Caenorhabditis elegans: one gene and its partner. The protein of the gene in region 1 interacts with the protein of each later gene in a pairwise test. Each region holds a gene or a part of one and is shown on either strand. Other genes may lie near its edges.

Region 1 (3,105 bases):
GTCAAGGAATCAATGTATACGACATCATGAGTCAGCTGAAGAGCTCATGAAACTATTCTTCACGTCAGTTTTTTTCTAAATGGAATTGAGTAGTGCCCGAGTCATAAAATGAGTCATACCTATCAGAAATGACGTCAGAAAAACAAAACAAAAGGTACAAAGTATTCATTTTTTGGAACATCAAAATTGCGAAATTAAACCGTTTTCCAGAAAGTTAGTAATGCACGTTTGAAACAGTATCTCACAAGATCCTATTAAGCTGGTGCATTCAAAAGTCGGGTAACTCAGTCCTTCGATGTTTTTGGGTAAATTTCCTAATATTTCTTTTTGGTCCGTATGAAAAAAATTTCATACGATTTAATAACTATCATCAAAAGTGAACTCATGATACGTAACTTTAATTTATAGCAGGTAACAAGTAGACATAAACACATGATGCTTTTCTTTGTTGAACATTTTTCGATTGTATTCCTATTTTTATGTTGAATGTATTTTGATAATATATAAAAATATCAATTAAAAACGGATTCCTTTGTGGGCCGTACAATAAATTTTTATTTCAAACTCAAAGTTTTCCATTGATTAGACGAATTCAACTGAGCTTGTACAATTGTCAATACTGTTTATTTTGTCATGAATAAAGCTTTTGCGTTAAGTATGTTCAAGTTAAGTATTTATCGGTATTCCGAGTATGCTCCATATCCAGTTGCACTTCCAGATACTAGTAGTAAAAGAAATGAAAGAATTGTAGCAGCCAAAGTGATTCCCCATGACCATCCGAGCTGAACAATCACACTTTTAAAAAATTGAATTTCAAAACTAATTTACCTTTAACGAAATCAATGCGTTGTAATAGAAGCTTCCAATATTTGCCGCGAATACAATGATGGAAATAAGAAGTAAAATGAATATGATCAAGGAGAGAAGAGTACACGCTGCATGAACCGGCATCATTCTTCGGAAAACTCTGTAAAGTAAAATGATATAAGTTGTCTTCAATTTCACTTGTCTTAAACTTTACTTACATTGCAGGTATGACAAGAAGACAAAACAAGAGCTCAAATGAGAATGCCATTAATTGACAAACCACGACACATTGCAGCCACCCCGCACTTCTTTGGAAACTTCTGTTCGCGCCTGCCTGTCCCCATTGATAAATTCCCATGTGCAAGTTTCCAGAAACACCCCAATCTAGGAATAAATTTCGCATTTCAGGGAACGACAATTTGCCAAACTTACAATTTGTAAAAGTTCCCACTCCGGTTAGTATTGTAACAATAATCAGAAGGCCAGCAATGGCGAATGGTGCGTGATGGTGATGATGATGCATTTTGTGACTGAAATTAACATTTTTTAACCGGAAAAATACTTACAGAAAAGATAAAAAAGATATAACAGGTAGATCAAATTATACTTACGTCATTGTGAAATAGTTCAGAGTAGTTTGTGGTTTGAAACTTTTTACGTAACTTGAGAAAACAGAAACTAAAAAATCGTAGGCATCCTGAGCTAATTTCATTTATTTTGTGGCAACCCACTCGGATTCGTAAAAACTTTAGGACATCATTCGATTTTATGTAATTTAGGAAACGTGCAAGAACATGTTTTCTGAACAAGTAAAAAATAGAAAGCATTTTTTGAAGTCAGATAATCATTTTTCATGCTTATATAGTGTACAGCGGTTCAACTCGACTTTGTGAGATGTTTATCTGGAGTGAGTCTAGTGGCTTTCGATAGAATTTTCTACCGGCATTTAAAAACGTCATTACTTGGTTACTTTAGTTTATCTAACTCCTTAGGTTAAGTTCGAAACAATCCTTACGATAGGATACAAACTAAATCTGTATAGAAATAAATGGGAAATAAATAGGAAAAAGCTTTTTTGGAATCTTTAACTGAAATTATTACTTGAAAAAAAATTATACTTTACAAAAAGCTCGATATACAAAGCTTTAAGTGTGACAGAAACTGCACAAAACTAAAATTCGACTATTTTTCTCGTCAAATAATAACAAAGATAGAAGATCATCCAAATGCCGACCTTTCCTGTTAGTTGACATTGGATAGACTGAACTATATTTCTTTTTGATCCACTATTTGAATATGATCCACAATTTTGAAATGTCCGCCTCTTTGTTTGTTCAGTGAAATCATAGTGATAGAGTTTTCGTGAAAAAAAAATCCTCGCCCTACAGTTTGCTCTCTCATGATTTACCATGTGTGAAACTTTAGTGTAAATTGTCGCGCAAGCTGAATGATTCACTTCATGAAATCGGTTTATTCATAAAAGTATACAACGACTTTATCGAAAAAGGTGACAATATGAAAGAGAGTTATGCATATTCATATTCAGAGTCGTGATTTCACAATTGATACAAATAAAAATGAACAATTTTAAGAAATATACTAACAGGTCAGAGGAAAAGATGACACAGACAAATGCCAAGTCACGAACTAAGAAATAAAGCATCACGCACGAGCATTTTACATCGTGAACTTCCAAGTGGCCATCGCTTCTGGAGGGAGCGACGATGAAGTGTAGCCCATATTGCTGTTGAGAAAGATTTGAACGGTTTCAAGTGATGTGCAAAGAATTGAGATGATTATGACCAGGACACTAACTAGGGAGTGTTTTAACTATGTGGTGCGATCGGGTAAAAGTAAACGTGTTATGCGATAGCTGGCGTTTTAGGCTTTCAGAATCTGTGATTTGTTTCGGCAGAAGACCTCTGTGAGTCTGGAAATTTTCATCTGAAAATGTAGTACTGAAATCAGTGCATTTCCTATGGTTAACAGTGGATTTTGTCTCTGGCGCCAACAGAAGTCTCACCACAATGGTGGAAGGGTGAAATCATCGCTTCGGTGGTCGAGTGGTGAACGCATTCGCCTCTTGAGCAAAAGTTTGTGGGTTCGGTTCCCACACATGGTTTAAATTTTGGCCTTTTTTTATACAAAATTTTTAGAACGGGAAACAAATGTTTAAAACAGTTTTTTGAGGTTTTTACATTACTTTTTTGCTTTTTGATTGAACCACAATTACCCTGGAAACTTTTCAGAAATTTTTATTTTTTCGAAAATTGCCACTTTTTTCTCCACCAAACTCCA
Region 2 (8,233 bases), on another chromosome or scaffold:
TAAAATTAGCCTGTTTTTATTTTAATTTTCAAACCATTCGAAAATTCTCAAACTTTTTGGTCTGTACTTTTTCCCGAAAATTATTAAATTTTATTTCTTCAAAGTTCACATCTTTTGTCGGAATTCTTGTATTTTTATCGTCACCCTAAAAATTTAACCATCTGTCAACCCTCTCTATCTGAACATATTGCTCTCAAGTACATGTTTTCCTGCAAGTGCTTCTCCTAATTCATGTTCCATTTCCTCTTTCCGTCTGTTCTTTTCTCTAATCCTCTTCTACATTCCTATACTATTTCCACCTTTCCAATCTCATCAGAATATTCATCCAGGCGAAATGTTTCCGTATTTTTGATTGTTCGAGTTGATAACCTTTTCTCCGTTATACCTTTCATTCAATTCATAAATGTTTACTCACATATTGCCACTCCTTTCCCTGACTCATAATAACTGTACCCCCATTTTTTTGCAACGTTTCTTTACTTAGTTTTCTTTCTATTTTTTTAATGGTTGCCACACAATTTTTGTTATATTTTCTCCGGATGTTTTCCACTGGCTTCCAGCCCGTTGCGCACTTTCATTCCGGCTCGTTTATTTTTGTAGACATCGTCAGTTTCTTGACATTTCTTATTCTTAAAAGTTCAAAGTTTATTGGAACTTGAAAAAAATCAGAGTTTGAATTTTAAAAATTTTTTTCAGCATATTTTTTGCAAGTTTAGAGATTTTAAATTCCAAAATTGATTTTTGCAGAATTTTTTTGACAGTTTTTTTTAAACTGAAAATGTAGTACTCAAATCAATAGTAGCCAAAGCAATAAAAAAGGCTTGAAAATATATTCCCACCTGAAACAATTTGCGCTCGGAAAATTTAAATTCAGCCAATTTCAGCAACCTTCGTCAATTTAAGAACACCCTCCAGTATAGAAGCTGGGTTTTTTATTTGCAAACTTATCTAGAATGCTGAAAGAAAACTCGAAAAGTATTGCTATTTGTTCCAGATTTTTCCATATTTTTCACACTCATTTCCCAAAAGCTTCTGGCTCCAAGTAAATATTTTTCCAATTTTTTGCCAGTCCGTAAATATATCTATAGCCTCCCTCGTCGTCATGTTTACATGCTCAATTCCATCCTCATTTCTCATTATTTCCTTCATTCATTCTAAAAAATCTTTTCTTAGAATGGACACTTTTAATTTTATATCTGTAAAAATAAATATGTGAAAAGAAAAGTGAGGAAAAAAACAAAGATTGAGAGCCCCCGTTCTGTGATGATTGATGAATGTCGGGTGTTTGAGAATTTTTCATCAAAAACATACTTTCCTTCATCTCTGATTTTTTTTTGGATTTTAAGGATATGTAGAACATTTTGTTTTCCTAATATTTCAAAATAAGATTTAGTTGAAAAATAAATTCAAACATCAAACCTTATTGGCCGACACCCTCACGGTCAAATTTGCCTATCTGATACCCTGAAGTTTGAGCTTATTTTTTTTTGGTTAAATTTTTTGGGCCAAAAAATCGGTGGTCCAATTTCGTGACTTCAAAAAAAGTATTCAAAAATACTAATTTTTTGGATCAATGTAGAGCGCATTTGCACTGATGTACCGTAAAATATGGCGAATTGATAATTGAATTCAAAAATGGTTCGGCTGTGCGGTTCAGATAGGGCGAGTAGAAAGGCGAATAAGAGGTGCCTTCCTACGTCTAGGAACACCTCGTATCTGTGATCTAACTTTAAATTTTTATCCCCAGAATTATTTGCGAAATTTCTGATTTTTGCGACAATTCTAATTCAATAATTGATTTGATTATATCGAGTCTAGACTCTCTATACTTTTTGGCACCTTTTCCCTTTTAATCTCCTTTTTTCTTCCACTTTCCTCTTGCCTCCGCTCTGAATCCGAATTTCGCTTTTCCTTCTTCACACAAATGAACGCAATCCAATTAGTCCTCATCCAACCACCCCGTCCGGTGCCCAAAAACCTGATCCTTATCACAGTTATCACCCGGGAGACGAAAAAGAATATAATTATGAATAAATAGATATTTTCACTTTCCCGTAAATCCTTCTGTCATTCCTCTTCTTCTTCTTTTCTCCAAGCCTCGGAAATATTCTAATCAATTCTGAAATTGAAAATCTCTTCAGAAAAGAAGACGTCGCCGGGACAACAACAACAGCAAGTGGGCGGTGCATGCGTCGTGCGCACCGCTGCTGATAACAAAATAGTGTGCGAGACGGTGAGTCGCAGACAAATCTCACGGGGGAATATCATTTCAGGTCATTCCAACCGGAGAAGACATGCGCGCAAAACGGTCCTTTATTGTTAAGGTTATGCAATATCCTCGGATATTGACACCCTTTCCCGTACCGCCCGTTCGCTCCTCAGTTCCCCTAAACTGATACGAATTATATCCGCTCCCCAACCTTTCCACCTTTTGAAAAATTCAATTTTACAGCTGCCTAATTCAATCCAAACAGCCGAGATGACAACGGCTTCCGAGCTGCTGTCAGACGACGCAAGAGCTCGATTCTCACATACAAAGGCTCTTTTTGAGCAGCTTGAGAGACAGCAAGACGTGAGTTTTTTTTGGATGATAATAATTGGTTTCCGAATTTTGAAATCATTTTGCTATTTTGCATTACGGTTATTTATTTTTCTTGAAAAAACTCACTAAATTGTGGATTAGAGCATATATTCCAGAATTTTTATGCAATTTTTCGCAAAATGATTTTCCTGGCTATATAGATCAAATCTGTAGCTCCCTATGAACAAGTTTTGCCTGCTAGTAGATTCTTCACTTAGGCCTTCAAAGAATAAGTCCCCTCTCTTGATTTGATCTATGAAAATTGCTGGAATTTTGCTCACAGGAAAAGTGAAAAAGTATGACGTCCCCGCTCTTTAGATCACCAGCTGAAAAGTCTGCGTCTAAATTTGGCGAAGTTTTCGGAGATCATTCGGAAAAGAGATACTCTGACTACCAGTTTCTGTATCACTTCACAGCCTCACGTTTAAGAAATTTGACGTCACGTCTGAAAAATGTCTGAAAAAGAGGTTTCCCTATGATCAAGTTTTGCTCAACAATTATTAATTTGGGTCAAAAGTTGGAAACACTGTCGACTTGATTTAGACTTCTACCATATTTATAACTCAAGTTTTGTTAAACACAGCTTAAACCCAGTATTTTCAAAGTCTTGCCCAAATTTTGCCAACTTCTGAGCTAATAGTAAGCTAACTTTTTCAAACATCAGATGCCCGCCACGCTTTTTCCAAAACAAACTCTAAATTGGGCAAGCAGACTACTGTAGTGTCAATTAAAAAATAATGTTTCTAGGTTCCATCATTCTACTCTCCACGTCTTCAACGTCAACCACCACCTCCATTACCCCCAAAACCTCCATCTCAATGTCCGCCGAGTCCGATGTCACAGGTATGTGTGATCAAACAATCACATGGCTCTCTTTCTCTCTCTCTCCTTCTCTTTCTGTTTTCTGGAAAAAGAAATGGAATTTAAAAATTCAAAGACTGTGTCAGTTAGTCAATGTTTTGTGTCTCCAACACCCCCGTCTCTGTTATACTGTTCGGTTGACTAATCCGCTCATCGATAATAGATTCAAAAATAATGGCATTTACTCATATCACACACACACTCCTTTCCCCCATCAGACACACACGCATATAACACATAATCGAAAACTCGAAAACTTTTCCAGGTCGAACGAAATTTCTCTGATTTGGCCGCGGATCTCGATCGGATCCAATCATCGCCGGCAACGTCTAGGTTTATACAAAATAAGTGAGTTGTTTTTTTAAGGATTTGTTACCATACCATAACTTTTTTTTAATTCTCAAAAAAATGTAACTGTAATTTTTTTTGATCAATCGCAATTTTCTCCATTCGGTTCGCGGGCCAAAGTATTTTAATTTTTTTTGGTAGTTACAAAAAGTCGCCTGCAACTAGATTTCAGAAATTCTAGGAAACTGTGCGAAATTCAGATAAATTAGTTGAGAATTTTTTTAAAGGAACTTTTTTGAATTTTCAAATCGAAAAAAAAACCAAAATCTCTGTTTTTTCTTTAATTTCAACTAACATTCTTCTTTGCTTCATTATCAGCTTCGCATGCCTTTTCTTTTTCCAATTCAGATCATCAACTCTTCCGTCATCATATTCCGATTCCACACAGCAGTATTCGTTCGAAAATACGGTTGCCACGTCGCAATATGGAGGACTTCAAACCAACAACAATAATAATAATATTAATATGAATTCATTTGAACCCTATTGGAGAAATGGATCAATATATCGGAGGCAATTCGAAGGAAATGGCAAACCGTATGTGTTTCGCTTCTTTTATTTTTCTTACTTTCTCGCATGAGTTTCTTTATTTTTCTCTATAATAGTTTTTTTTCTTGCGCTGAAGTATTTTAGTTGCGACTAACAAATATTTGTGTTTTTTCGAAAAAAAATGTGGCCTAGAAAAAACCAGAAACTTGGCCAGCATATTTTCTTAGATTTCTCATTCGGGATTTTTTTTGAATTTGCTAAAAAAAAGATCCTTGTGACTTTTCCAAAGTACAAAACTAAAAGTAAAATTTTTGATTCATTCAGGAACACGGTCTTCTTTGGATCTTTCAGAATAGTGATGGCACATAATATCTTGAAATTTTCGAATTTTTCAATTTGAAAAATCTATTAAGATTACAGAAATTGCTAAAATAGCGTGGCCGAGTTTTCTCACATATCGGCTCGTTGGAACCGTAAAAACCCTTTTCAAGCCCATTGTTGGCAAGCTTATGAAGGATCTATCGTAACCTTAAGTTTTTAAAAAACCGCACTGTGTTTGTGATAAAAATTCATTTAGTGTGTCTAGATATATTTTTAGAACGCCGATTTTTTATCGGACATTCACATTTTTTAAAATTTAAAAATTTGATACGATTTGCGCCAGATTGTTTTTTTAGTAAATTTAATATATGCAGGCACCTGAAAAAACCAATCATTTCATGAAAATGAGTTGCTGTTAATATAAATAATCAAATTTCTTCGATCAAAACTTTTTTTTCAGTTTTGGCGAGGAAAACGATGGAATCTCACCAACGACGAATGGAGTGAAGCACACGACATACGCCGTCGTCAAAACACCAAAGGAAACAGAACTTGAAACAACATCAGAAAACAGAGGACTCATGGAAACACGGAGGGGTCTGAGTCCAGAGAGGCCTGACGTGGATTTAACGAATCGAAAGGTCTCGTTCAGCACTGCACCTATTCCGGTAAGATCACCCACTTTTCCCATTCACTCATGTTTCTTTGTTGTTGCAAGTTTGCTCTATGGAATGTATGATGTTCAAAATAATTTTATACTTTTTCTAGGCCAAGACAGATTGAAACGTGGCCGAGAAAAATCTTTTTGAAACTATCAATAGAGCAAACATGCATTCACTGAAACTTGACCACCACAACCTAACATTTCCTTTTGTTTACATATATGTGGCAAGGTGATATTAATTCATTAATAGATATATCTATACAATCTCGAATTAGGTCACCTTATTGATATGATAAGAGATGAGGAACAAGAGAAAAAGAGAAAGAGAAAGCGATCTTCATTTGCATAATATCTAAACGTTTTCACTTTCAGGTCTTCTCGGCGTTTTCCGTTGAAGACTACGATCGCAAGAATGAAGACATTGATCCGGTGGCAAGTTGTGCTGAATATGAATTGGAGAGACGACTTGAAAGAATGGATTTGTTTGAAGTTGATTTGGAAAAGGGTGCCGAGGGACTTGGAGTCTCTATTATTGGTTAGTGATTGTATTGTGGCTTACCATAACTTAGAAGCCTTGTATCTCGGTTACAATCGGATGTTGCTCACAGTTTCTGTTTCATTTTTATAGTTGGAAACTTTCTTTTCTCGGCATAACCAAAGATAACCGAGATATAAGCGCTTAATTAAACTTGAAGGAATGTCAACCTGAAGCTACTGTTTAGGAAAAAATTATATGCTTTCTGCCTGCCTACGGTTTTCGGATAAATTCGTTATGTTTCAGGTATGGGTGTTGGTGCAGACTCGGGTCTTGAAAAGCTGGGAATCTTTGTAAAGAGCATCACACCTGGCGGAGCTGTTCATCGAGATGGACGAATTCGTGTCTGCGATCAAATTGTTTCAGTCGATGGAAAGAGTTTGGTCGGTGTCTCACAGTTGTATGCTGCAAACACGTTGAGATCCACCAGCAATCGAGTCACTTTCACAATTGGTTGGTTTTTTTTGGAGTATTGTGCCGAACGCGTATGATATATTGCATTGATGACTCCGTGAAATAACACAAATATTTTTGTGTGCAACAGCGACTCAATACACCATATTCCGCGCAAGCGTAGAGAAAAAAAGCATCTAGAAAATATTTCAATTATGTTTACCAGTTATCTTCCAATTTAAAAAAAATGTATTGCAGGTCGCGAACAAAACCTTGAAGAATCCGAAGTTGCTCAGCTAATTCAACAAAGTCTTGAACACGACAGAATGAGAATGATGGGAGACGAGGAAGACGATATCGAAGAGCCGCCACCACCACCATCTCAAATGCCACAGCTACCAATTGAACAGGATCGTCCGACAACTTCAATGATCACAAAAGAAGAAATTGAGATTCGTTCGAAGATTGCTGCTCTTGAACTGGAACTTGATGTTACTCATAAGAAAGCAGAGCAATATCATGAAGTGTTGAGCTCAACGAAATCACATTGTGATCAACTGGAAAAGCAGAATGAGCAGGCAAATTATATGATTAAAAACTATCAGGAAAGAGAAAAAGAGTTGTTGAATCGAGAAGAGAATCATGTGGAACAATTGAGAGATAAGGATGTACATTATGCATCATTAGTTCGTCAATTGAAAGAACGAATTGATGAGTTGGAATCGAAATTGGAAGAAGCTGAAGAGAGAAGGCATTCTATTCAGAATCTTGAGCTTATCGAGTTGAGAGAGAAGTTAAAGGAGAAAGTTGAGAAGAGGAATGAAGGAATGGCGTATAGACCAGGTGGAGAGCTTCCTCACGAGGATAAGGCTGTTATGGTTAATTTGGAGACTATTGTAAGTTGGAGAAAATATGAAAGAACATTCATCTTCAAACTTCATTCTAAAACAGTTTTCACATAATGCCTAAAATTAAGCTTGAGCGTAGGCCCTATGCCTAAGCCTAAGCCTACGCCTAAGCCTAAGACTAAGACTAAGCCTAAGCCCAAGTAAGAAACTAATTATAACACCCATTTTCATTTCCAGACTCCATCAACCAAAAAAGATGCGGAAGTATCAGTTGGAAGTAGTTGGACAGAAGAGTACTCATCACCATGCGAGTCGCCAGTCCCTCGTATCTCCGAGCCAGCATCTCCGGCTCTTCCACATAAATTGACGCATCGCAAACTTCTGTTCCCACTCCGAAAGAAGTACGCCGAAAACGAGTTCTGGCGTGCCACGTGTCAACCAGTTGGTCTTCAAGCTCTTCATTGGACGGTGGACGATGTTTGTCAGTTGCTCGTTTCAATGGGCTTGGACAAATATGTGCCAGAGTTCACCATTAATAAGATCGATGGAGCCAAGTTCCTCGAGCTCGACGGAAATAAACTGAAGGTGAGTAAGATGTATACGATCCCGGCGCAAGAAAACTCGGGTAGAAAAAAAAAACGCTGCAATTACATAACGAAAAGTTAAACTATTTCGTAGGCACCAAGGTGCTAAAATTTTTTAAACTTTTCGGTTTTTTGGGTAAAACCGAGAAAAAGATTCCTGAAAATTCTGAAATGAATTCAATATTTATGTTACACTCTATTTCATAAAAACAACAGAAATGTCACTTTTCGAGCAAGAGAGACTGAACTTTTGTTTTTGATTTTTCAGTTTCTTGTGCCAAACCCAAAAACCCTTCAGGTCTAGTAGGCACAGTCTGCCTACCTGAAAAGTGCCTAGAATATACAAGGCTTAAAATAGGTGCATTCTATAAACCTTATGTGACGTCAACTTTTTCAAATTTTCCACAATTTTGGGAAATCACACCACTTGAAATTGTTTATCTGAATCAATATTTTTTAGGCAATGGGAATTCAAAATCACTCGGATCGTTCTCTAATTAAAAAGAAAGTAAAAGGAATGAAGAATAAAATTGAAAGAGAACGAAAACAGTTGGAACGAGAAAGCCGTACCCGAGTCATTGCACACACAATTCCCATGTGATTTTTTCT

What was found.
Region 2: the proteins of hic-1 (region 1) and nab-1 interact in a protein complementation assay, tested with the Caenorhabditis elegans proteins (one study listed by BioGRID).

Annotation. Positions count from the first base shown.
Region 1 is NC_003284.9:6,597,372-6,600,476, forward strand, and holds hic-1 (Lens fiber membrane intrinsic protein), read right to left. Parts: upstream 1,338-3,105; 5' UTR 1,331-1,337; coding exon 1,240-1,330; intron 1,192-1,239; coding exon 1,026-1,191; intron 968-1,025; coding exon 829-967; intron 783-828; coding exon 675-782; 3' UTR 608-674; downstream 1-607.
Region 2 is NC_003279.8:4,227,436-4,235,668, forward strand, and holds the start of nab-1 (Neurabin-1), read left to right. Parts: upstream 1-2,141; 5' UTR 2,142-2,233; intron 2,234-2,450; exon of another isoform or gene 2,451-2,452; 5' UTR 2,453-2,479; coding exon 2,480-2,572; intron 2,573-3,328; coding exon 3,329-3,424; coding exon of another isoform or gene 3,425-3,508; exon of another isoform or gene 3,509-3,707; coding exon 3,708-3,790; intron 3,791-4,138; coding exon 4,139-4,327; intron 4,328-5,060; coding exon 5,061-5,268; intron 5,269-5,636; coding exon 5,637-5,799; intron 5,800-6,045; coding exon 6,046-6,252; intron 6,253-6,450; coding exon 6,451-7,088; intron 7,089-7,277; coding exon 7,278-7,625; intron 7,626-8,084; coding exon 8,085-8,225; 3' UTR 8,226-8,233.